Linked DNA regions of Schizosaccharomyces pombe. Changing the gene in region 1 together with any one later gene gives a genetic interaction. Each region holds a gene or a part of one and is shown on either strand. Other genes may lie near its edges. The genes, in order: pun1, ubp3, ate1 and pdk1.

Region 1 (4,582 bases):
TAACACATGTCTAAGATGAATTCTTGATCATAGCTTTGACCACCGAAAATATAAAGTTTGTTCTCATCAGGAAAATATTCCATGCAATGACCCATCCTTTCAATCTTAAACTCACAGTGTTTTTGACGATCCTCATACCTGACAGCCAACTGTTCCCAAATTCGATTTTTCGTATCATATGCATAAAGTCCCTCGAATACCAGTTCATCTGGATCCCATTTACATCCACCACTCACATATACAATACCTCGCTTTTCGTCTACTGACATTCCATGGTCAAAAATAGCGGCAGGCCCACCATCTTTTGAAGTGTCATAGGATAAACATGTCCAAACTTTTTTGCTAATATCAAATTCCCAAAAATCTGTCCTTGCATCTGGGGGCACCTCGGTTTCCCTAGATGAGCCAAAGTAATTCCCAAGTAGATACAGCTTTTGTTGGCTAGTATCAATGACCATTCTGTGACAAACCCTCTCACCAGGAATTCTAATACGTTAATGGATAGATTCTTTCTAAAAAATGACATACCCATATTCATTCTCCATAATCCATAAATCTTTATCAACATTGTAAATCCAAAAATCAGAAAATGTTTTGACACCATCCCAGCCGCCGTATAAATAAATACAATTGTCCTGTATGAGGATAACTGTTAATACAATAAAATATCGAAAAAATCTAAGGTACCTTTGGATTGTAAACCATTTGATGACCGCTTCTTCTACTTATTCCTTTCAAAAATGTAGCTATTCTATGCGACCGTAATTTGGTTAATTTATGCTTTGGCCATTTCTCAATAATTTCAGCTTGAAGTTCTTGTTGAAACAGAAGAATGGTTTTTTGAGTGTCTCCTAGTCTGCAAAATGCATCATACATTCTCATTAAGGGTGAATGTGGTATGGAAAGCTGGTAGCTTTGAAGTATCACAGAACATATATCAAGTTTCCCTTTAAAAGCAAAGTAAGAGAGAAGGCAATTGAGTGCCTTTTTTTCTAGATGTAAAGCTCTGTTCTTCTCTGTGCATGATAAAGCGCTGGCTGAGTCAATGCCGTGTAAAGCAACATACCATATACTCATGTTAAATTCATGAGCATGAGCTTGAAGTGGAACAATTTTGATATACTTACAAGCAATTGAATTCTCAATTTTGTTATATTTCTTGATACACAATGGAAATGTTTCTCGATTTGAATCATTTGTCAATCCAGCTCTTAATAAAGGGAACATCAAATGCTGTTCACGCCCCCCATATACTATAAAACTTAAAACTGTTAGAGGAAGAAAAAAAAAATAAACCGCTTACTCTTTAAGGTTGCAAAGATGGGGAGTGTGGAATTTCCCAAAGGTGATATCGGTAACCAACGCAAGTTTATCAAGTTTCAGAATTACATACTGTTCTTCAGAGTTGTTGGGTTTACATATTGAAGTATTACAGCTCCATCGGCTGTTAGCCTGGTGTGGATTATCGATAAGTATATTGATAGGATGAAATGCTCCAGAATAGCTGGACCAGCTTTGAATGGTATAAGACAATTCTTTACGTTCCATTTAAAGAATCAATAATTATCTTCGTCTGACCGCTATGAGTCTAGCAACAATGTATGTGTATTGGAGAAATCAGGAAAGCACCTAATGTAAACAAACAAAAGAGGCAGTAATGATCGCTTCCTTAAGGTGCTTTACAGTCTTGGTAAGGGTCTAAACTTAAAAGGGAAATTTCAGTAAACAATTATAATTCATTTTGTAAAAGTTGAAATTGGATCCAGTATTGAACTTAACTTATTGACGAATATGAAGAAAGTAGTTCTGTTCTGCCATTCGATATTACAAAAGAAACTCCAACAGCTCTTTCGCATTTCTCCAGAAAAAAAAATAACTATTTTGTCATTATCTGAGAATTTCGCTCATTTATTTGGCAAATTAAATGAATTCACAAACTACCCAATCTTGCGATGGACCAAACCACTTTCCAAAATTTCAATTGTAACTAGAGCAACACAACCATATTAAGTATAAATTATTGGTTAATTAAGTATCCTCGTCATGAAAGCATGGTAGAAGATAATATGGGAAATCTATATGATGTTAGTTTAAATATTATATCTGATTCATTGACGACGTAAATTCCTCTTCTCTATTATATAATCACGGATCTTTGAGAGTCATTAAACGATTAAATGTTAATATGATAATCATATGATTTCTTTTTTATACAAAAACTATATAAAGCCCAAATTATTGTGTTCGGTATCATGGAACGAATACTAAGAAAAGCAAAGCGCTTATGTTGATTTTTTTACTTGGCTATCTAATGAACGCTTTCTTTTCATATATAATGGGGCTTGAAACTCAAGCTGCGCCTATATGTCAGTAATGTACGACACAGCATGCGCCGCTGAGTTCGTATATCAGAACTGTTTCTTTTGCTGCGAAAGAACTGTAAAATTGCTGTCACTGCATCCTTTTCACACGTATAATAGTCGAGCTTGTTGCAAACATCGAAAACGTCCCGCGTTTGGTTTATTTACATTGATATGACCCGTCTGTTTACACTTGGTTGTCATGACAACTTCGCTTTCTCAAAACATATTTTACTCGTAGCGGGCCCTCCGTGTCAATTGTGGCATTCCAAATTTACAGAAGATTAAGACTTTAAGAGATTGCGCCTCTGATGCGTATAAAAGGTTAAGAAACAATCAGCTACTTGCCTTTACGATTGAAAAAAAAAACCAGTTCTCTCTCTTTTGTTTACTATCCATACTATCTTGTTTACTCAATATCCTCGCGTTAAATCGTATTAATTTCAAAGAAATTCGTTTTACAACAGCGTTTTTGAAGTGTTTCCCTCTATTTTTCAGCCGATTTTTTGTCCTTCTTCTTCCCAGCTTCTTGAAGAATTGTTTATTTCTGGAGACTACATATCAGTTTTCCTTATTAATCGTGATATCTATTATATATAATCATATATATTATTCTTTCTTTTTGTCATCCCAAGCAAATTGGTTTTTGATATAACTGTTTGTCAAAATGGGAATGGGGTTCAATCCTATTAAAGCTTTGTTCACTGGTATTGGTACCGTTTGCGTTGGAGTTGGCGCGCTTTTGTCAATTCTATGCATCATCAATCAAACTCAGCATAACATTGCTTTTCAAAATATTTACTTTATTCAACTGAATACTACATCTATCTTTTCTGTCGCCAATCAAACTGCTGTTGTCAATAATACAAGCAACCTACTTAACGAGCTTACTGGAACACTGGTAGACACGCTCGAAACATATATTGATCAAGGTGCTACTGATTTAATCGAACAAGTTGAGCAGGAGATGAAGGACGTGTCTGAACTCCCGGACTGGTACTCCATTGGTCTTTGGAATTATTGTCAGGGAAATTCGTCTGATTATACAAATCCTACTTATTGTAGTACTCCTTCTCCTAGTTATTACTTCAACCCCCTTACAATGCTGGAAACCAGTATTAATAATGCAACTGGTAGCCAAATTAACATCACTTTACCTTCCGAGGTGGATTTAGGATTAAAAGTGCTTAAAGGGGCATGTTATGCTATGCGAGCCATGTATATTCTTGGATTTATTTTCTTTGCTCTGACAATAGTTTCAATCGTTATTTCTTGCCTTCCATTTTTTGGTCCCCTCTTTCTCAACGTCTTCTCATTCTTTGCAACTATTTTTACTTTTATCGCTGCAGTTATCGCAGTTGCAACTTATCGTATTGCAATTTCTGAATTGGAAAAAAATATCGAAATTCTTAACATTCCAATCGTTTTAGGAAAGAAAATTTATGCTTATTCATTCCTTTCAGCAGCTGCTGGCTTAGCTGCTTGTATTCTATATTTTATTGGAAATCTTACATCCGGATACAGTCCACTTTAAGTTGTATCGTCCGTTATTTATTGCCCATTATTTGTTAAAAATTAGCATGTTGTTTTATTTTCCCTTCTTTTTGTATTGATGTCAAGTTTCCTTTTTCTTTCATTTTTATGTTAGTTAGCATTGAGATTTGTTTTTCTTCAGATAGTTACTGTATTTAAAAATATACTTTTCTTTGACCCTTGTAACGTATATATATTGTTATTCAAGTATACTAAATTTTCATCCAAATAATGTTCATTAAGTTTATCAAGTGATTCAAAATGCTCCGTTTTAAACTATTTCTTTGTCTTCGGCCAGTAATTGTTTAATCCATGTAAGATAATCCAGTCCTTCTGAATGTTTGTTCATGTTGCATTCTAAAAACTTTACTATATTAGGACGAACCTGACTCCTCAATAGATCATCGGACGTGACATAAGATTTTCCGTCTGCAACATCACAAAACGCATATAAAACTTGACGAGCACTATCACGATCCTCTAATTCTTCCATCACGATTTCTGTAAAACGCTCATAAGTAACACCCTCTTCCGAGTTAGCAGCCCTGTGAAACAAAGCAGTTCCTTCTTCGGTATCATAAACCAAGCCCAATGAGGCCAATGCGGCATAAAACTCGACCTCATTTAACATATTTGATTTTTTCTTTTCAAAATGGCGAAAGACTTTAGTAATTCCGTCTAGTTCTTGT
Region 2 (5,585 bases), on another chromosome or scaffold:
CCGTCTATATTGTGAACATGAGGATAATAACGTCTAGTTAACTTTAGACTTGGATGAAATCTTTTTTCACGAAAACGGGTAAACCCTTCACGTCCAAATTCAAGTCCAGTGGACACTAGCTTAACATTAGGGCGCTTCTTTAAAGCATATTGAATAACTGCTTCATCTTCGTCAACAGTAATACTGCAAGTAGAATACACGATAAAACCACCGGTTTTGCTGTCAGCATTGACAGAATCAATAGCGCTTAGAAGCAATTGCCTTTGTAAATGGCTAAGAGTATCAAAATCCCTTTCAGATTTGTTAGTTTTAACAGACTGATCTTTATATATAACACCAGTACCCGAACATGGGGCGTCAAGGAGAACACGGTCAAAACCGCCAATTACTTCGTTGGGAAACTTGCGGCCATCGTAATTACATACAATAGCATTACGTACACCTAAACGATGAATGTTAGCGGAAAGAGCCTTTGTTCGAGCTTTGTTAGAATCATTTGCAAAGATAATTCCAGTATTCTTTTGTAATGCAGCAACATAAGTGACTTTACCACCAGGTGCTGAGGACATGTCAAGGATACGTTCATTTGGTTGAGGCGCAAGGGCCATTACAGGCAAGAAGGAAGATGCAGCTTGCAGGATGTAATGACCAGCTAAATATTCGGGTGTCGCACCGATTGGAACCTGGGATTCGAATACTTGGAGACCTACTTTGGACCATTTACCAATTGGTTCCAAATTGACACCACGATTAATTAATGCTTGGGCTAATTCTCGTCGCTGGGTTTTTAAAGTATTGGTACGAATTGTGACAGGACGAGGCATTTCATTTGCCTCAAAAAACTCAACAGCCTCAGAAACTGAAAATAATTCAAATAACTTCTCAGCAAGAAAGCGAGAATAACCGTAATACGCACATATATCATTTAAGAGTTGATCAACATATTCAGAACGATTGCGTCCAGGTTCACACAAATTTTTAAAATCATTCAAAACACGGACTATTTCCTGTATCCGCAATTGAATTTGGCTCAAATCCTGTGGAAGAGTAGATATTGGTTGGCTATCGGTAAAACCATCAATAGGTGGAAGAACAGTAGGAGCCTCAGGATGTATGTTGGTATGCAATTCTTCCTCGGCTTCTTTTTCCTCTAATTCCGCTTCCTCATCAAGTTTGCGAGACATGGCTTCCATATTCGCAAGTTCCAAATCCTCTTCATCTCCAGAATCATCGCTAAACATAGGCTTAACCTCATGCTCTTCATCCGAATCAAAAACAGAATCTTCTTCCTCCCCTTCACATTCTTTAGCCTCATCATCGATAAACTCGTCAGCAAATGTTTGGGGTTCCTCGTCATGTTCCAAGTCTGATAAAGTTTCAGCCTCTTCAAATTCGTCTGCATCAATAAGATCTTTTTCATTCTCAGAATCCGAATTTTCAAACAAAGATTTCTTTTCTTCTGCTAATTGGCGTTTCCGAGAATTTTGTGGTTTTTCTTTTGAATGCTTTCTCTTTTTTGCATTTTCTGTCACTTTATGAGAAGAATTATGATTTTCCTCTAAAGTTGGGGGAATTCCTTGCTTAGACTTCTGTTTTCTTCCCATCTTTTATGGAAAATATGTGATGAAGTCCAAAAACGTTTATTTGGGCTGAGGAAAAATTTTGGCACTGGCATTCTTTCAGTCCAACCTCCACTATTCACATCGCTGAGTTTTGTTAAAAACTTTTACGAAAGATAAAGAACATTAAATTTTTTCAAGCAATACTACACTACGCTATGACATACTATGTTGCGTATCACTATATGCCATATGTTTAAATACTTAAGATCCGTTTATTGATACACGAGGATAAACTATCCGTCTATCTACATAGATGCAACGTTGATAGCAACTTATAGAAATATTATTAATAGAGCTACAGTTGAACTGAGGAACGAGGTACAGTTCCTAGCTGTATCGATGATCGATACTAATAGCTTCCTATAAACATTGTCAGTTAAAAATATACTGCATCCCGCTATATTGTAGATCGCAAGAGAAAATTGCCGCAGTTCTATGTATCGTTAAACAGATATTCAAACTGCATTGCTGAAACACAAAAAGATATACCGCATAGCAACAGCATAGTTAACATTATTAAAAATTCACGACTATTGTTATATTTATCTTTTTTAAAATTTGCTACGTACTTTACTGCTCAGCTTACTTAAAAAAGTCACTTAATTTACTCGTTCATCTTACTTCACCTCCTTGACAATTAATCATTTCAATTATGATCACATTAAGACTTGGTTAACGATTGAATTTGCTGCGGCGTAAAATGAGTGACAATATATATTCAAGACCTATATATAGTTCACACAACAGCAGAATATCGAATTTTAAAATTTACTATTTACTTTTCTCTTTTCGTATCACTTTTGTGGTTTAAGATACATATAGTGGTACTTAGATATGTAAATATACCGTATTCTCTAAAAATAACTAAAGATGGGCATGGACATTCAATAATTAATAATAAAAAAGAACAACTAAAAATAATTAGGAATTTGAGTTAGGCGGTCAAGTGTTTACAGTGGAATATCACCATAATACACTTGGTGGAATACGAAGAATTAACGAGGTATAGTGTATATTAAAAAAAGTTTTGGACAGTCTTTTGAAGAGCAAAGCGAACGACAGCCAACCATCAAATTAGTAAACAAGAGTTCAATCTTGCTAGAGTGTGCGTATTTCCATGCGAGATTTGACCTCTGCAACGGACAGCGCGTCTTTGGAAAGTGATTCGTCACGAAATCAATTTATTATCAATTCACTGGTATGTTTTATTAAAATTGTGATTATACTAACGTTTAGCTACCATGGTACTCATGCTCTGAACATGAATTTCCTCATCGAAAGGCTAGAAAAAGGCGTTCGCCTAAGAATTTAGATTGGTCGGTTTCGGTGCAAATGCCTCTGGTCACATCAAAGACGAAAGAGTCTGAAAAATCGCCTAAATCGTGGTCTGCAATTGCGAAAAAGCATGTTCAAGGAGACTCTCCTGTTAAAAAATCACATTCTGTTCCGGTACCGTCTGACAGGTCTGAGAAAAAAAGTTTCAATTCATCCCTTGGTGAATTGATCGAAACATATTCTCCATCCCTCGATGCACCCCGTCCTATACAGCCTCGGGGTTTTATAAATACCGGAAATATATGTTTTATGAACTCTATTTTACAGGCACTAATGTATTGTGTTCCATTTTATAATTTACTTAAGCAAATTAACCGGATGGTTCCGTATAATTTTGAACGTACAACACCTCTTATTGAATCGTTGACAATGCTTTCTAGGGATTTTAGAGAATATTCTGAGAAATTTGATTTACAAGGAGATTCTATTTTGCCAGAAGTGGTATATTCAGCTACTAAGGGGAATCCTCGATTTGAAATGTTGCAGACCGGCGAACAGGAGGATGCTGAGGAGTTTTTGAATTTGTTTCTTGACGAATTACATGAAGAATTCGTGCGTGAACGTAGACATTATTTATTAAAAAATGACGAAAGAAATCCAAAATCTGATATCAAAATTTCAAATGGTATCAAGTCTGGTTTAGATAGTTTTGATGATCAATCTTCTGTAGAAGCTAGTGGCTGGACCGAAGTTGGTAAAAATAAAAAGCCAGTAATTGCTAGATCTGCTACTGTTGAAAGGTCTCCTATAAGCCAAATTTTTGGTGGTCAGCTGCGCTCTACCTTAAGGGTTCCGAGTGCAAGAGATTCTGTTTTGTTAGAACCGTTTCAACCTCTGCAACTCGACATTCAAGCAGAAGATATACATTCAGTTATCGATGCGTTGGAGCATATGACCGCCCCTGAAATTTTACCGGAATGGCATTCGTCGAAAGGAAATGTTACTGCTACCAAGCAAATGTATATAGAGTCACTTCCTCCTGTCTTGATTCTTCACCTTAAACGATTCTTTTACGAAGCATCTGGCGGTACACAGAAAAATTATAAGCCTATTGCTTATCCTGCTCGCTTGAGTATTCCACAAAACGTTTTCAGCCCTTCTGTTCGTGGTTCCATACATCCGGAATATGATTTGAATGCAGTGGTTTATCATCACGGTACTTCTGCGTCTGGTGGTCATTATACTGTCGATGTTCAGCAACTTGATAAAAGCGGCTGGTTTCGGATTGATGATACACACATTCACCGCGTACCTATTCATGATGTTGAAAACTCCGAACTTTCCGCTGATCCGAGTCTTAGTAAACTTGGTCACGGCGATCGTGTGGCATACTTACTGTTTTACACACGACGCTCCTAGGTCATCTGGATTCCTTCCTCCCAAAAAAAATTAACCAATAAAAACCTTAATTGTTTTGTGTATTCTTCAATAAACAACTCAAGGATTTGAGCTAAAACTGGGGACTACACTTTTTTATAATTCTTTTTGTTTAAAACGTCGGTTAGAAAATTTTATCATATCTTTTTTACATAATTTTCTCAAAAAGGTTCAGCAATTTTTTATTATTTTTTATTTTATGAACTTTAGCTATTTAAGATTACGTTCCCTCTCAATCCCTTTAAACTAATCGGCTTTATAATACAACCTTTCTAGGAACTTACTCCGAATATACAAGTGAATTTTCATTGCAGCTTTAATGCAGTATATATTTTAAAACAGTACCAAAAGTAGGGTCAAGTGGTTTTTATTTTGCTGTCCTATTAGTAGTAGGTCAAGTCCAGCTTCATAATGTAATATTTGAAGTACTATGGCATCAAGTTTGTCACTTTAAAGCCCATTTCTATAATTTTCATGCAAGCTAAACTCCTTGTTTTAAATAAAAAGATTTGATCGTTTGAGAATCTTGATTCAGCGCATTCTAAAGTACGAATATAAATTACAGTTTTTTTGTTGCATTTATTAAACATTTGGCCCCCACTTGCATACCCCAATTATATCTCTGCGCAGTTAAGCCTATTGTCAACACCACTACCAAATTCTTTTTCCTAATACCTGGCGCGTTGAAATAGGCACTCCTTACTTTTATTAATTAATCATGACATTTTTCAGTGCACTGGGTATGATGAATTTCGTCAAAGTAAAGCTAATCATTAGGTGATATGGCCCATTTGGCTGCTATTTTCTTGCTTTTGCACCGAATGAAAAAATCGAAAACCTGTTCAGGACTATCTCTCAAATCCCATCTTTTGTTTCTGCTTGTTTATGTTACACGTTATTTGAGTATGTGCTGAACTTTTCGAAAAATACTTTCTTTGCTAACTCTTTTTTTTAACAGATCTCTTTTGGAGATACAAAAGCTTGTATTATTTCTTGATGAGGATAGTTTTTATAGCTTCCGAATCCTATATATGCTACTTGATGTTAATGACTTTGCGACCTACATATGACAAACGTCTTGATACTTTTCGAACTGAATATATCTTAGGTGGTTGTGCAGTTCTGGCTCTCATTTATCCAACCAGTTATACCATTAGTAACATCCTATGGACTTTTAGTATTTGGTTAGAAAGTGTTGCAATTCTCCCTCAATTGTTTATGTTACAACGATCTGGTGAAACAGAGAGCCTG
Region 3 (5,329 bases), 1.6 Mb from region 1:
AAACAATTCTGAGAAACAGGCGTTAGATAGCGCTTGTAAAGAATTACGTGAGGCCGTCCTTAAAAACACTAGTGTACCACATGAGTTGGCCAACAGTATCATAGATTATGTCTGCGATGCCTTAGCAGCATTGTATAAGTCAAATAATTTTGACAAAGACAAATGGACTTCGCAATTAGGTGTGCTTTATTTATCTCCACTTGTCGGGGAAGAATTGGCTTCACAAATATCATCAAAGATATATGATGACCTTCACGCCTTCTATAAGTCATTAAATTCTGTTGATGGGATTTCAAACCTTACTATTGAGGAAGAGGAACTAGTTAACACTGATTTTTCTTTGGCATACGGTGGCAGATTGCTTCTGAGTCATACCAATCTTCACCTTTATAGAGGTCATCGATACGGTGTTGTTGGTCACAATGGTTGTGGTAAATCAACCTTGTTACGCGCTATTGGTGATTACAAGGTTGAAAACTTTCCCTCACCTGATGAGGTTAAAACTTGCTTTGTTGCACATAGTCTTCAAGGCGAGGATACTAGTATGGCTATCCTTGACTTTGTTGCTCAAGATAAGGCGTTACTGACTATGAATGTTACCCGTCAAGAAGCTGCTGATGCTTTGCATTCTGTTGGTTTTACTGCGGAGATGCAGGAAAATCCTGTTGCTTCTTTATCTGGTGGTTGGAAAATGAAACTGGAGTTGGCTCGTGCCATGTTGCAGAAAGCTGATATTTTGCTTTTGGATGAACCAACAAATCATCTTGATGTTGCCAATATTGCATGGCTGGAAGCATATTTAACCTCTCAAAAGAATATTACTTGCTTGATAGTTTCTCACGACTCTTCATTTTTGGACCACGTGTGTACTGACATCATTCATTATGAAGGTGTTAAAAACCAGGCAAAAAAGCTTGGTTATTATCAAGGTAATCTTTCAGCTTTTGTCAAGGTCAAACCGGAAGCTAAATCATACTATACATTGACAGCCACAAACGAGAAGTTTGTTTTTCCACCTCCCGGTATCTTAACTGGTGTGCGCTCAAACACACGTCTCATATTAAAAATGACAAACGCTTCTTATACATATCCCAACGCGAAGAAGAAGTCATTAGATAATGTTACCGTTGGGTTATCTTTATCTTCTCGTGTTGCCATTTTAGGTCCTAACGGTGCTGGTAAATCAACGCTTATTAAAGTTCTTATCGGTGAAGTAATCCCTCAAGAAGGAAAAGTTTTCAAGCATCCCAACTTGCGTGTGGGTTACGTTGCTCAGCATGCCTTTCATCACTTGGATCAACATCTGGAAAAAACGCCAAGTCAATATATTCAATGGCGTTATGCTGGAGGACAGGACCGCGAAGTTTCAGAGAAGGAATCTCGAAAACTTACCGAAGAAGACCGTGCTCAGCTTCAGCGTGATATTACGGTCAATGGCGAACGTAGAAGAGTGGAAGCTTTGATTGGCCGTCAAAAACTAAAAAAGTCATTTCAATATGAAATTAAATGGTTTGGGAAGCCTCATAAATACAATACGTGGGTGTCTCGAGAAATATTGCTTGAAAATGGGTTTCAAAAGTTTGTACAGGCTTTTGATGATATGGAATCTTCTCGCGAAGGTCTCGGTTTCCGTGAATTGATTCCCGAAGACATCAGGGCACATTTTGAGGATGTGGGCCTTCCTGGCGACATTGCTGATTACAGCCCCATTAGTAGTTTGTCTGGCGGTCAAAAGGTTAAAGTTGTTATTGCTGCGTGTCTCTGGAATAACCCCCAGCTTTTGGTTTTGGACGAACCTACAAACTTTTTGGACAGAGATGCATTAGGTGGTTTAGCTGTTGCTATTCGTGATTGGGAAGGTGGGGTCGTTATGATTTCACATAATGAAGAATTTGTTTCTGCGTTGTGTCCTGAACACTGGCATGTAGAAGCGGGTAAGGTTACCGGTAAGGGCAAGACCGCTGTTGACGATGGAAAGTTTGAAGATCTGTCGGAGAAAGATTTGAAAAAGATTGAGGCTAAAGCTACCAAAAAGAAGAAATTGACGAGAAATGAAATCAAGGCCAAAGAAAGACGTGCTAGAGAGAGAGAATTAGCATGGTTACAATCTCCCAAGGGCACCGAAAAACCCAAATCATTCTTCTCTGATGATGAAGAATAATTTCAGACTAATTTTTTAATTCGCTCTTTGGATTGACAAGTTGAGAGTTGTTTATCCTTTAATTTTCTTTAGACGGTGCTAGTTGTTGAAGTTGGTCTTTTACATATTTACGGTTTACTGATATACCTTTTAGACTTAATTTATATATATAGAACTTGGTGGATGGTATCGTGGATAATATTAATATTAGTCGCTTTTTATATGTTTTGTTTATCGTTAGTGCATGTTATAGTTGTATTAGACGTATACACTTTTGTCATTGACTCTTGTAAAAGGTGTCAAGAGAACTATGTATTTTTTGGGTTTTTTTCTAGATATTCGTATGAAAATGTGATAGACTTTTTAATATGATTAATCAGGAAATTTCTATAAACATGCACTCAACGAAAAATAGGGTACTTAATCTTCAAGAAATAATTGGTGTAGTCTTAGTTCACCTACTCAAAGAGCCTTCAAAATAAAGGCAAAAGAACTGAACTAAGAGTTTTACTACTGATGATATAGTTCATTTAATATTAAACAGGGAAATTTTCAAACAATAGTATGGTATTGGATAAACTGTTGTACACAGGGTACAACGTCAGTACTGAATGTGGTTATTGTAAAAGTGGAAGAAAGACCGAGCATTTTGGTTTATTAGCAGAAAAGCTCAGTTGTGAAGTAAGCGTATAACTCTGCTTTTTGCAAATTTTGCTAACCTACATTTAACCTCAGGACTACCAGCGATTGATTGATTTGGGATGGAGGTAAAAACCTTTATTAGTTAACATTGCTAATATAAAATAAGACGTTCAGGACATTATTTATATAAACCCAACGGGAAAACATCTTGCTGTTCTCTTTATACAATCAGGTACTTAGCATAAGTCGCCAAATATGATTGATTACTAACCGCCGAATGTTGAAGACTCGACAGCTATAATTTTAAAATTGCAAAAGAGCAAAAGAAGGCAATAAAAAAATGGGTCAAATATGTAAATGGAAAGCCATTAAAACCTATGAAAAGCGAAATTAGCACAGATTATTTGAACAATGCCTTTCAAACTATAGAATCGCTCGGAGCTGAAAAATACTCTGTAACTATGGAGCCTTGCACTTACACCGATGAGAAATTTGAAGTCTTCAAAAAGTATCAAATGCAAGTTCATTTAGAGAAAGAAGAGGAAATCACGAAAAAAGGATTTAGCAGGTTTCTTTGCAACTCTCCTTTATTTAATGAAGACAAGGGGATAAAGTATGGTTCTTATCATCAGATGTATCGATTTCAAGGAAGGCTTGTGGCAGTTGGAGTTTTAGACTTGCTACCACATGGTGTTTCTAGCGTTTATCTGTTTTATGATCCTGATATGTCTAAGTTTTCTCTGGGAAGGATTAGTGCCTGCCGTGAAATCTGGCTTGCTCTTGAATGCGGATATCGGTACTACTACATGGGTAGGCTAAAATGTCATTTATTTAATTACGTTGATTGACCTTGCAGGTTATTATATTCACACATGTCCCAAAATGAAGTATAAGGCAACGTATAGTCCATCGTACCTGCTTAATCCCGTACGTATACATTCGATTTTAACTTGAACTAATACAAACAGGGTACAAATAAATGGATACCAATTGAAAACTTTACTTCACTTTGGAATACTGGTGCTCCTAAATATATAAGTTTCGGGGATGAAAATAATAGTGATATTCAAACTGCTGTTGACTACGATTCTTCTGAAGATTCATCTCAAAACGAAGATGATTATACACTGTTTAATCGACAGCTTCCTGGAATTCTTTCAGTAAATGTTGCTGAGTCCTTGGTTTCGGAGAATTTTGCTAACATTGGCAATTCAACTTTCCCCACAAGAGTATGTCTTTATTTTTGAGTAACAATGCTAATTCTTCAGCATGTTTTAAGTTATTTCCCTCAGGTTAAACATTGGTTTGTTGAAATCAATGCTGCTGTGGGCGAAGAAGTCGCAAAGAGTTATACACTTGTTTTATCTAGTTGATATATTATCTGTCTACGTGTTTTATTTGCTTAAGATATGAACATCCTACTTAAAAATCTTAATGAACTCCAGGATGGCTTTGAGAGTAAATTTTACAATGTGACTTACAGAATTAAGTTAATTTTATGCTACTACTTATGTGTGATAGTTTCCTCTTTTATGTCCCTTAATCGAAGTTGATAGCATTTCTAATAATATAAAATACTGCCGGCTTATATATTTATTTTGTAATTATTTATAACTGCACGCTACCTAAAATGTCACCCTAACATAACTTAGTGGGCTTTTCCGTTACGAGTTGTTTGCAACCAAACACAAAAACGGGTTTACCGGTACTTCACGACTTAATATAATCGCAAAACAGTGCATAGTAGGTGAGAAAGGATTTTATCATTTAGAGAAGAGATTTTACTTTAATTGTTCTTCTTTTTTCTTTCTCAAGTGTTACTGCTAGGTTCTCATTCTATAGAGTATTAGCAAACACCAGATTTCGATGACATTTCGTGTCAAAATTGGGTTGACTGCATTTTAAAAATAATTAATCACGGTTGGCTTACAATTCAACTTCTAGGCACTGATTTTTTCTTCGAATGCCATTTTGAAGTTATTTTACTTTTACTTTCCTAAAACAAGGTGTTGTAATAAGGGATTGTTCTTTTATCTATTTTTGTACCATTTGTATAAAGAATTCATTAATTTGCACTGTGATTTTCTTAATACAGGCTTAAATCCATTTACCGCTTCCATTTTTTCTTTGAATAAGTTACACCATTTCTCAACGATAAATACTTGTATAGAGAGGTGTATTTACTTGTTCAATTTCATTCTTTATTGAAAATCACTGATTTTGATTTGATTTTTATTGCGTTTAAGCTGTATGCTACTTGGAAGCTGCTTCTCAAGTATAATATTGCCTTTGCAACAAAGTTTTTTTATATCTCTTTTTACAGGATTTCGCATGTTTTATCTTTTTTGTTGAGGTGCTTCACTGATTCTATTTTGTACCTAAACTCGATTTTTGTGCGGATATATTATGAAGAAGTATTTGTGGGGTACTCCAACTACGAATACCGTATTTACAGGCAAGCAACCAAAGTATACCAAGGAGGTTCGCAAATGCATTTCAATTGATGAAGTATATAATGTTGTGCGAAAGGTTGGAGATGGCACCTTC
Region 4 (5,823 bases), on another chromosome or scaffold:
CTTTAATGTTTTCATGCTTCATTATTTTTTTGTCCCACTTCCATTCCTTGACCTGTAACTACGGTGTACCTGTTGAAGAGCTTAATACATATCTCACCGTGTATATTCTTACCGTTAAAGTTTGTTCTTTTCACATAATTTCTGCATTCAATTTTAAACAAAAAAAGACACATCATATTTTATTCTTCTTTAGAAGGGTCTACCGGTGTTCGGACTAATTTTATATTTTACATGGCTGATTACAATTTTCTTGTATGAAGCTGATAATCAAAATTTTAAATGTGCTTGCAGGCATCTTACAACATTTTTACTCTTATGACAATTACATAGGACTCATAACAATAATATTCTTTCACTATCAACAATATAACTACACTTCGGTAGTTAACTGTAACTATAAAAAATCTTTCTATTTTAATCATCACAAAGACTTATCTCACTGACCAGAAAAGTAACTTTTCTTCATGACCTTGCACTCCAAAAGCTACAAATAATGAGACAGGCATTAATAAGGTCAAGTCTAGCATAAGCATTGGGTATCAGTATAGTCACGTAAAATAAAAGGAAACGTGAAGTACTTAGTGAGTAAATACGGGAATAGGGTTAGCAGTATCAATGGCAAAAAATTTACGCTCCATTCCATCTTTATTTAAAATGACCATTCGAATGGTACCACCACTGCTGCCATCGCGTTCCATGGCTAAAGCAACAGCGTTCTTTAAAAATTCAACAGCCTCCTCTTGGGTCATATTTTCGCGAAAGTTAGCATCGCAAAATCCATAAATAAAAGCAGAACCACTTCCTCCAATAGCTAAAGGTTGCTTATGCAAACTACCACCTAACGGAATACTGTAAACATCTCCCCCAGTTTTTTCATCATATCCAGCAACAATTAAACCTGCACTAAGCATATTTTTGTTTTGATAACACATTTCAGAAGCTAAAGTAGCAGCTGTATGAACACTAGGGTCATGGCCAAATTGAATACTTCATAATCGTTAGATAATTTTTTTAACAACAATAAAATGAAAAATAAAACATGCAAAAAGGCTTTAGTAATCATCTAGTAAACATAAGGACTTGAGAGTAAGTCGATAGTTTATTCTAAAGGATAAACCAGCTAAAGCAGCCTTAATTTACAGTCATTCGGTTCATTCAAGGGTAACTTACCGATACATGGAAAGATAGTATTTTAGAAGATCAGCCACAGTTTGCGTATCAGCAGCAGAACCACTGCGACAGCACCAAATATTGTCTGTCAGCTGAGTCAGCTTATCAGTGACACGATTTGCAATATATGCACCTAGCAACGTTAGAAATCAAAGAACGAAAAGTTCTGATATTCCAATACACACCCATAGTTGTTCGAGAATCTGCAGCAAGTATAACGCCATCTTTATAACGGAGCGCCGTGATGGTGGTACCCATACGAATTTCTCTACAAAGTCAGAACTTTCAAAATCAATTTCCCGCAATCATACCCCTTTTTAATAGCATTAATGTCAACATTCATAGTATCTTTCACAGTAGTGGCCATTTTCAGAAGTTTGGTGAAAGGTTAAAATGATTAGGGACTTGTGTATGGTATTGAGAAGCAGCCAAAATTTAGGTAACATTGCTACCTGCATATGAAATTGCAGTATGAATATAAAAAATTGTTATTCAATTGTAAAAAGTGTTGAAAGAATTCGTATATTTTTTAAGAAATTCTTTAACGACTATAGATAAGGGTATAGTATTAAAAATTTTTGATCAAAAGTTACAGCCGACTACAGAGTTATAACCATGGATTGAACTTGAAAGTGCTCAGCTAGAAATTAACATAGGAAAGAATGAAAGAATCTAAAAGTTTGGGACTAAAAAGGTTTCTGAAGATTTTGTTTTCTTAATATTTGACGACTGCTTATATTTGGTTTACTTACGCAAATAACATGAAAAAAACCATAGCTATTGAAGAATGAAAATAATATGACCATGATCTTTTAACAAAAAATGAAGATATTGGAAGTTCGACCTGGAATGATGTATATATATTTACGAGAATTTCTTACGACGGATCTTCTAAACTGTGAATTAGGTATCATGTTATGTTTCATTTCTAGCGAAGCAGAATTCCAAGCAATATTGAGGTGATAGGGGATGTTCCAAATTCTGTTAATCGCCAAATTAATTTTGGAATTAAGGCAAGAAGCATTTCATTAACTACAGTGTATTTTGCTTATTTTAGTAAGGCAGTATCCCAAAGACAACTGGCTTTCTAAAAATCTCTTTTGTTTAGGTGTCTGTTATTTCAACAATATGTACATATATATATTTATTTATAAACTATTTCAAACATATTCAAGCAATTTATTGCTTTTTAGAGCGAATATCGCCATGGATAGCTTAGCGTGAGCTTAAAACATTGAATTAAAAAAATTTTCATTGCCGTTCCAAATTGTATCGCTTTCGCTAATGCTATAAACACCCAAAGCAATTTTTTTGTACTACCATCTTCAGGTCATATCGAAGTATCATTAATGCGATGTAAGACTTTGATGGGTATGATAAGGCTATCAAGCTGCTTAATGAGCATTTTTTCTTTGACAATTCGACCTTTAATTTATTGTTTACATGGCATATTCTACGTTTTAAATTTATGTAATAATGACGAGGATTGGAGAAATAGGGTACTCTACTTAGTGTTTACATCCTTCACAGAACACAACTCCAAGGCCAGCAACTCCACAATTAAATGCACGGTGTTTCAGTTGGAATCGAACAGCAAACGTAAAGTAACTCAAACACAACTTCATTTTTCATGAAAACCTCTTTTATAAATGATGGATCTGGAGCATAAACGCATTAGCCGAAGTACATTGCCGGATTATGCGGATCCCGATTACTTCGAGGCTAGAGGTGAAAGAAATCCGGTAAAACCTCAGTCTTCCAACGTAGTACCAGGAACAAGTCATATAGGATCGATCAAATCTCCGGCGGATTACGTTTTTGGTGACATTATAGGAGATGGATCATTCTCAAAGGTAAGTTGATACATTGCTTCTCAGTTCAGAAGTTTTTCAACCGCAGGTCGATTAACCTATGGACCTTCGATTACTGACGAATAAGTTGTCTAATATTCGTTAGGTGAGAAGAGCAACTGATAAAAAGAGTTGGAAGGAGTACGCTATCAAAGTCCTTGATAAAAAATATATTGTCAAGGAAAATAAGGTTAAGTATGTGAATATAGAGAGAGATTCTATGATGAGACTTAATGGGTTTCCTGGTATCTCTCGTCTTTTCCATACATTTCAGGATGATTTAAAACTTTATTATGTGCTTGAACTTGCACCCAATGGTGAACTTTTGCAATACATCAAAAAGGTATATTTTTTCATTAGTCTATTCATTTTTCCTTTATTAACTAAGCTTTGGTAGTATCGTTTTCTTGATGAGAATTGTGTGCGCTTTTATGCTGCTGAGATTTTATCAAGTATCGAGTATATGCACTCCTGCGGTATAATTCACAGAGATCTCAAGCCAGAAAAGTATGTTTGAGTAGTGGTCATTAAATGTTCGTTTCCTTTTCCTAATTCTAACCTATTTTTTAGCATTTTATTTGATGGAAATATGCATGTAAAAATTACCGATTTCGGCACAGCCAAAATCCTACCCCCTAAATATGTAAATAGCCCTGATTACACTACCTTTCCAAGCTCCTTTGTTGGCACTGCGGAATATGTTGCTCCTGAACTATTGTCTAGACAAGTTGTTTCAAAATCGTAAGAAAACCTATTATCCCAGTCTATTTTTTTTCTGACAAATATTTAAGTTCCGATTTATGGGCTTTTGCGTGTGTTGTTTATCAAATGATTGTTGGTTCCCCTCCTTTTCATGGCAGCAATCCTAATAATATTTTCAAAAAGATAATGAGCCTGGAATATGAGCTTCCAAAGCTCTTACCACCTGATATCGTTCCTTTGTTTAGCCATCTTTTCCGTATTCAGCCATCTGATCGATCTACAACCCAACAAATAAAACAATTTCCTTTTTTTGCTACTATTACTTGGGACAATTTATGGACTCAAGATCCTCCTCCTATGCAGTCATTCCGGCCTAATTATAACATAGCCATTCCTAATGCTCCTGCTTATTATCGCTCAAATGTGACAGCCGCAGCTGCTGCTAATGCTGCCGCGGCATTTGCTTCTGCATCCATTGTAAAGCATCAGGAAACTGCTCGACGTCAGGAGCTTCCTACGGTAAATCGTTTCACTGCTCCAACTGCTCATTATGGCTATGCTTCACTTCGAAGCCATCAGATGCCTGTTGACAGACTTTATTACAAGTTGGTTCCATCGTCTGAGTCGATCATTGAATCTACCTCGGTCTTCGTATCACCCATTCCAAGTGTACCTGAGGGTAATAAGTTTCCATCTGGACTCTCAAAAATGTTTTTGAAAAGAAAGCAAAGGGTTATGCTATTAACTGATGTTGGTCGATGCGCTTTTGTTTGTAAAGGAAAACATGAGAGACTTTTTATCGAGATGGAGGTGAACTTGAAGGATTCCAGTGTTGTAGTGATTTTTGATGAAAATAGTTCCAAGCGATTCTTGATTGAAGATAAGGTCCAGTCCTGGATAATAGAAGACAGTTCCGGGGATGTCACCAAGTATAAAGACAAAATCCTTAAGTTTGCTGATGTTGCGTCTTCTCATCAATCTCGTTCTTCAGAAGAGAATGTAGAAGAGAACGAGGAAGAGTAACCCCATACCTTGTTTTATTTGATTTTTCAACCCATTTACTACCTTCTTTATATTTTATTATTTGTCGTCAGTGTTTTGGTAATATTTAACTATTTAAGCTATACATAATTAGAAATTACGACGCACCTAGGAAGTCGCAAGATGGAGAGGTATTATGTATACATATATATGTATAGTATTTATAATATATATACTTGAATTAATTTTATGTTAAAATTCCATTTCTTTTGGTGAGATGTTAAAATTATAATATTAGTAAGAAGAGAGAGTTAGATAGGATCGATTTAAAGCGCATACTCTTGATACCAATAAAAGTTTTGTGGTATCAAGGAAATAATGTTTATCAACGTTCCAAATTAAAACAGAAAAAGAAAATGATAAATGTTCAGGACCCATTATGCTAAGCTCTGTGATATCAATCCTCATCTTGTTGACATATGTTACATCATGTGGGCCACAATTAATAAAGCTATTAAAAAAGAGTTAGAAATATCAGTTTCTCTTACTTTTAGAAGAATTTTCAGAAGGCATTTTTTCCCAAAATAATTGAATTCTAGCAAGCAGGGCGTTATCGTTTTGAATGGGAATAACACCTGACAGAGCTTGCATTACTACTTCAAAGTCTGCATCAATTAGCGTGTCCCACATTCCTTGTATAACCGCAAGAGAAGTGGCTTGCAATAACCTGACAGTTTGACCTTTGCTTCCACCTAATAAAAACAGGAGATCCCATATACGTAATTGAGTATGGAAGGGCACGCATTGATGAAAAACAGTGAGATACCAACGTGTAGCAAAAGCAGATGGTTCTGCTCCAATTTCCGCCAGATGTCTGCCTGATTGTGTAAAACTTAACTCATGCTTAAGCATGTCAAAAGCCTTTAAAAGTGTATCAAACCCGGAAGAAAACAAGTCCCCCATGCCTCTATTTTCCAATAAATTTACCATCATTATAAATGCTTGTTCTTCGGGATAGTAAATGAGCAAGGTCGCAGCAATAGAAGCCATTCCTTGAACGTATCCAACACGAGGTATATAGAGAGCTACAGCATGAAGAACTCTAAATAGTAAACGTTGC

Evidence for each region.
Region 2: mutations in pun1 (region 1) and ubp3 together harm fitness more than expected from each alone (negative genetic interaction), as found in Schizosaccharomyces pombe (one large-scale study listed by BioGRID).
Region 3: mutations in pun1 (region 1) and ate1 together harm fitness more than expected from each alone (negative genetic interaction), as found in Schizosaccharomyces pombe (one large-scale study listed by BioGRID).
Region 4: mutations in pun1 (region 1) and pdk1 together harm fitness more than expected from each alone (negative genetic interaction), as found in Schizosaccharomyces pombe (one large-scale study listed by BioGRID).

The regions. Positions count from the first base shown.
Region 1 is NC_003424.3:3,694,474-3,699,055, reverse strand, and holds pun1 (SUR7 family protein), read left to right. Parts: upstream 1-2,620; 5' UTR 2,621-3,027; coding exon 3,028-3,894; 3' UTR 3,895-4,082; downstream 4,083-4,582. Other genes in the region: mde6 (muskelin), read right to left, coding at 1-486, 529-635, 688-1,261, 1,304-1,548; ain1 (alpha-actinin), read right to left, coding at 4,165-4,582. UniProt on the Schizosaccharomyces pombe protein: Contributes to the wild-type cellular response to nitrogen stress through signaling pathways that regulate the expression of genes involved in amino acid biosynthesis. Required for wild-type filamentous growth, cell growth, and cell-cell adhesion.
Region 2 is NC_003423.3:3,674,974-3,680,558, forward strand, and holds ubp3 (ubiquitin hydrolase Ubp3), read left to right. Parts: upstream 1-2,675; 5' UTR 2,676-2,739; coding exon 2,740-2,820; intron 2,821-2,858; coding exon 2,859-4,316; 3' UTR 4,317-4,688; downstream 4,689-5,585. Other genes in the region: RNA methyltransferase Nop2, read right to left, coding at 1-1,604; erd2 (HDEL receptor), read left to right, coding at 5,053-5,074, 5,112-5,237, 5,293-5,585.
Region 3 is NC_003424.3:2,076,106-2,081,434, reverse strand, and holds ate1 (arginine-tRNA--protein transferase), read left to right. Parts: upstream 1-2,591; 5' UTR 2,592-2,704; coding exon 2,705-2,821; exon of another isoform or gene 2,822-2,875; coding exon 2,876-2,907; exon of another isoform or gene 2,908-2,948; coding exon 2,949-3,014; exon of another isoform or gene 3,015-3,068; coding exon 3,069-3,592; exon of another isoform or gene 3,593-3,638; coding exon 3,639-3,709; exon of another isoform or gene 3,710-3,750; coding exon 3,751-4,011; exon of another isoform or gene 4,012-4,050; coding exon 4,051-4,155; 3' UTR 4,156-4,328; downstream 4,329-5,329. Other genes in the region: AAA family ATPase Elf1, read left to right, coding at 1-2,161; serine/threonine protein kinase Pit1, read left to right, coding at 5,189-5,329.
Region 4 is NC_003423.3:3,113,383-3,119,205, reverse strand, and holds pdk1 (serine/threonine protein kinase Ppk21/Pdk1), read left to right. Parts: upstream 1-2,696; 5' UTR 2,697-2,819; coding exon 2,820-3,023; exon of another isoform or gene 3,024-3,126; coding exon 3,127-3,363; intron 3,364-3,417; coding exon 3,418-3,527; intron 3,528-3,590; coding exon 3,591-3,761; intron 3,762-3,811; coding exon 3,812-4,745; 3' UTR 4,746-4,975; downstream 4,976-5,823. Other genes in the region: proteasome core particle subunit beta 1 Pre3, read right to left, coding at 579-987, 1,171-1,303, 1,356-1,438, 1,482-1,537; SPOM_SPBC1778.09 (GTPase-activating protein), read right to left, coding at 5,238-5,823.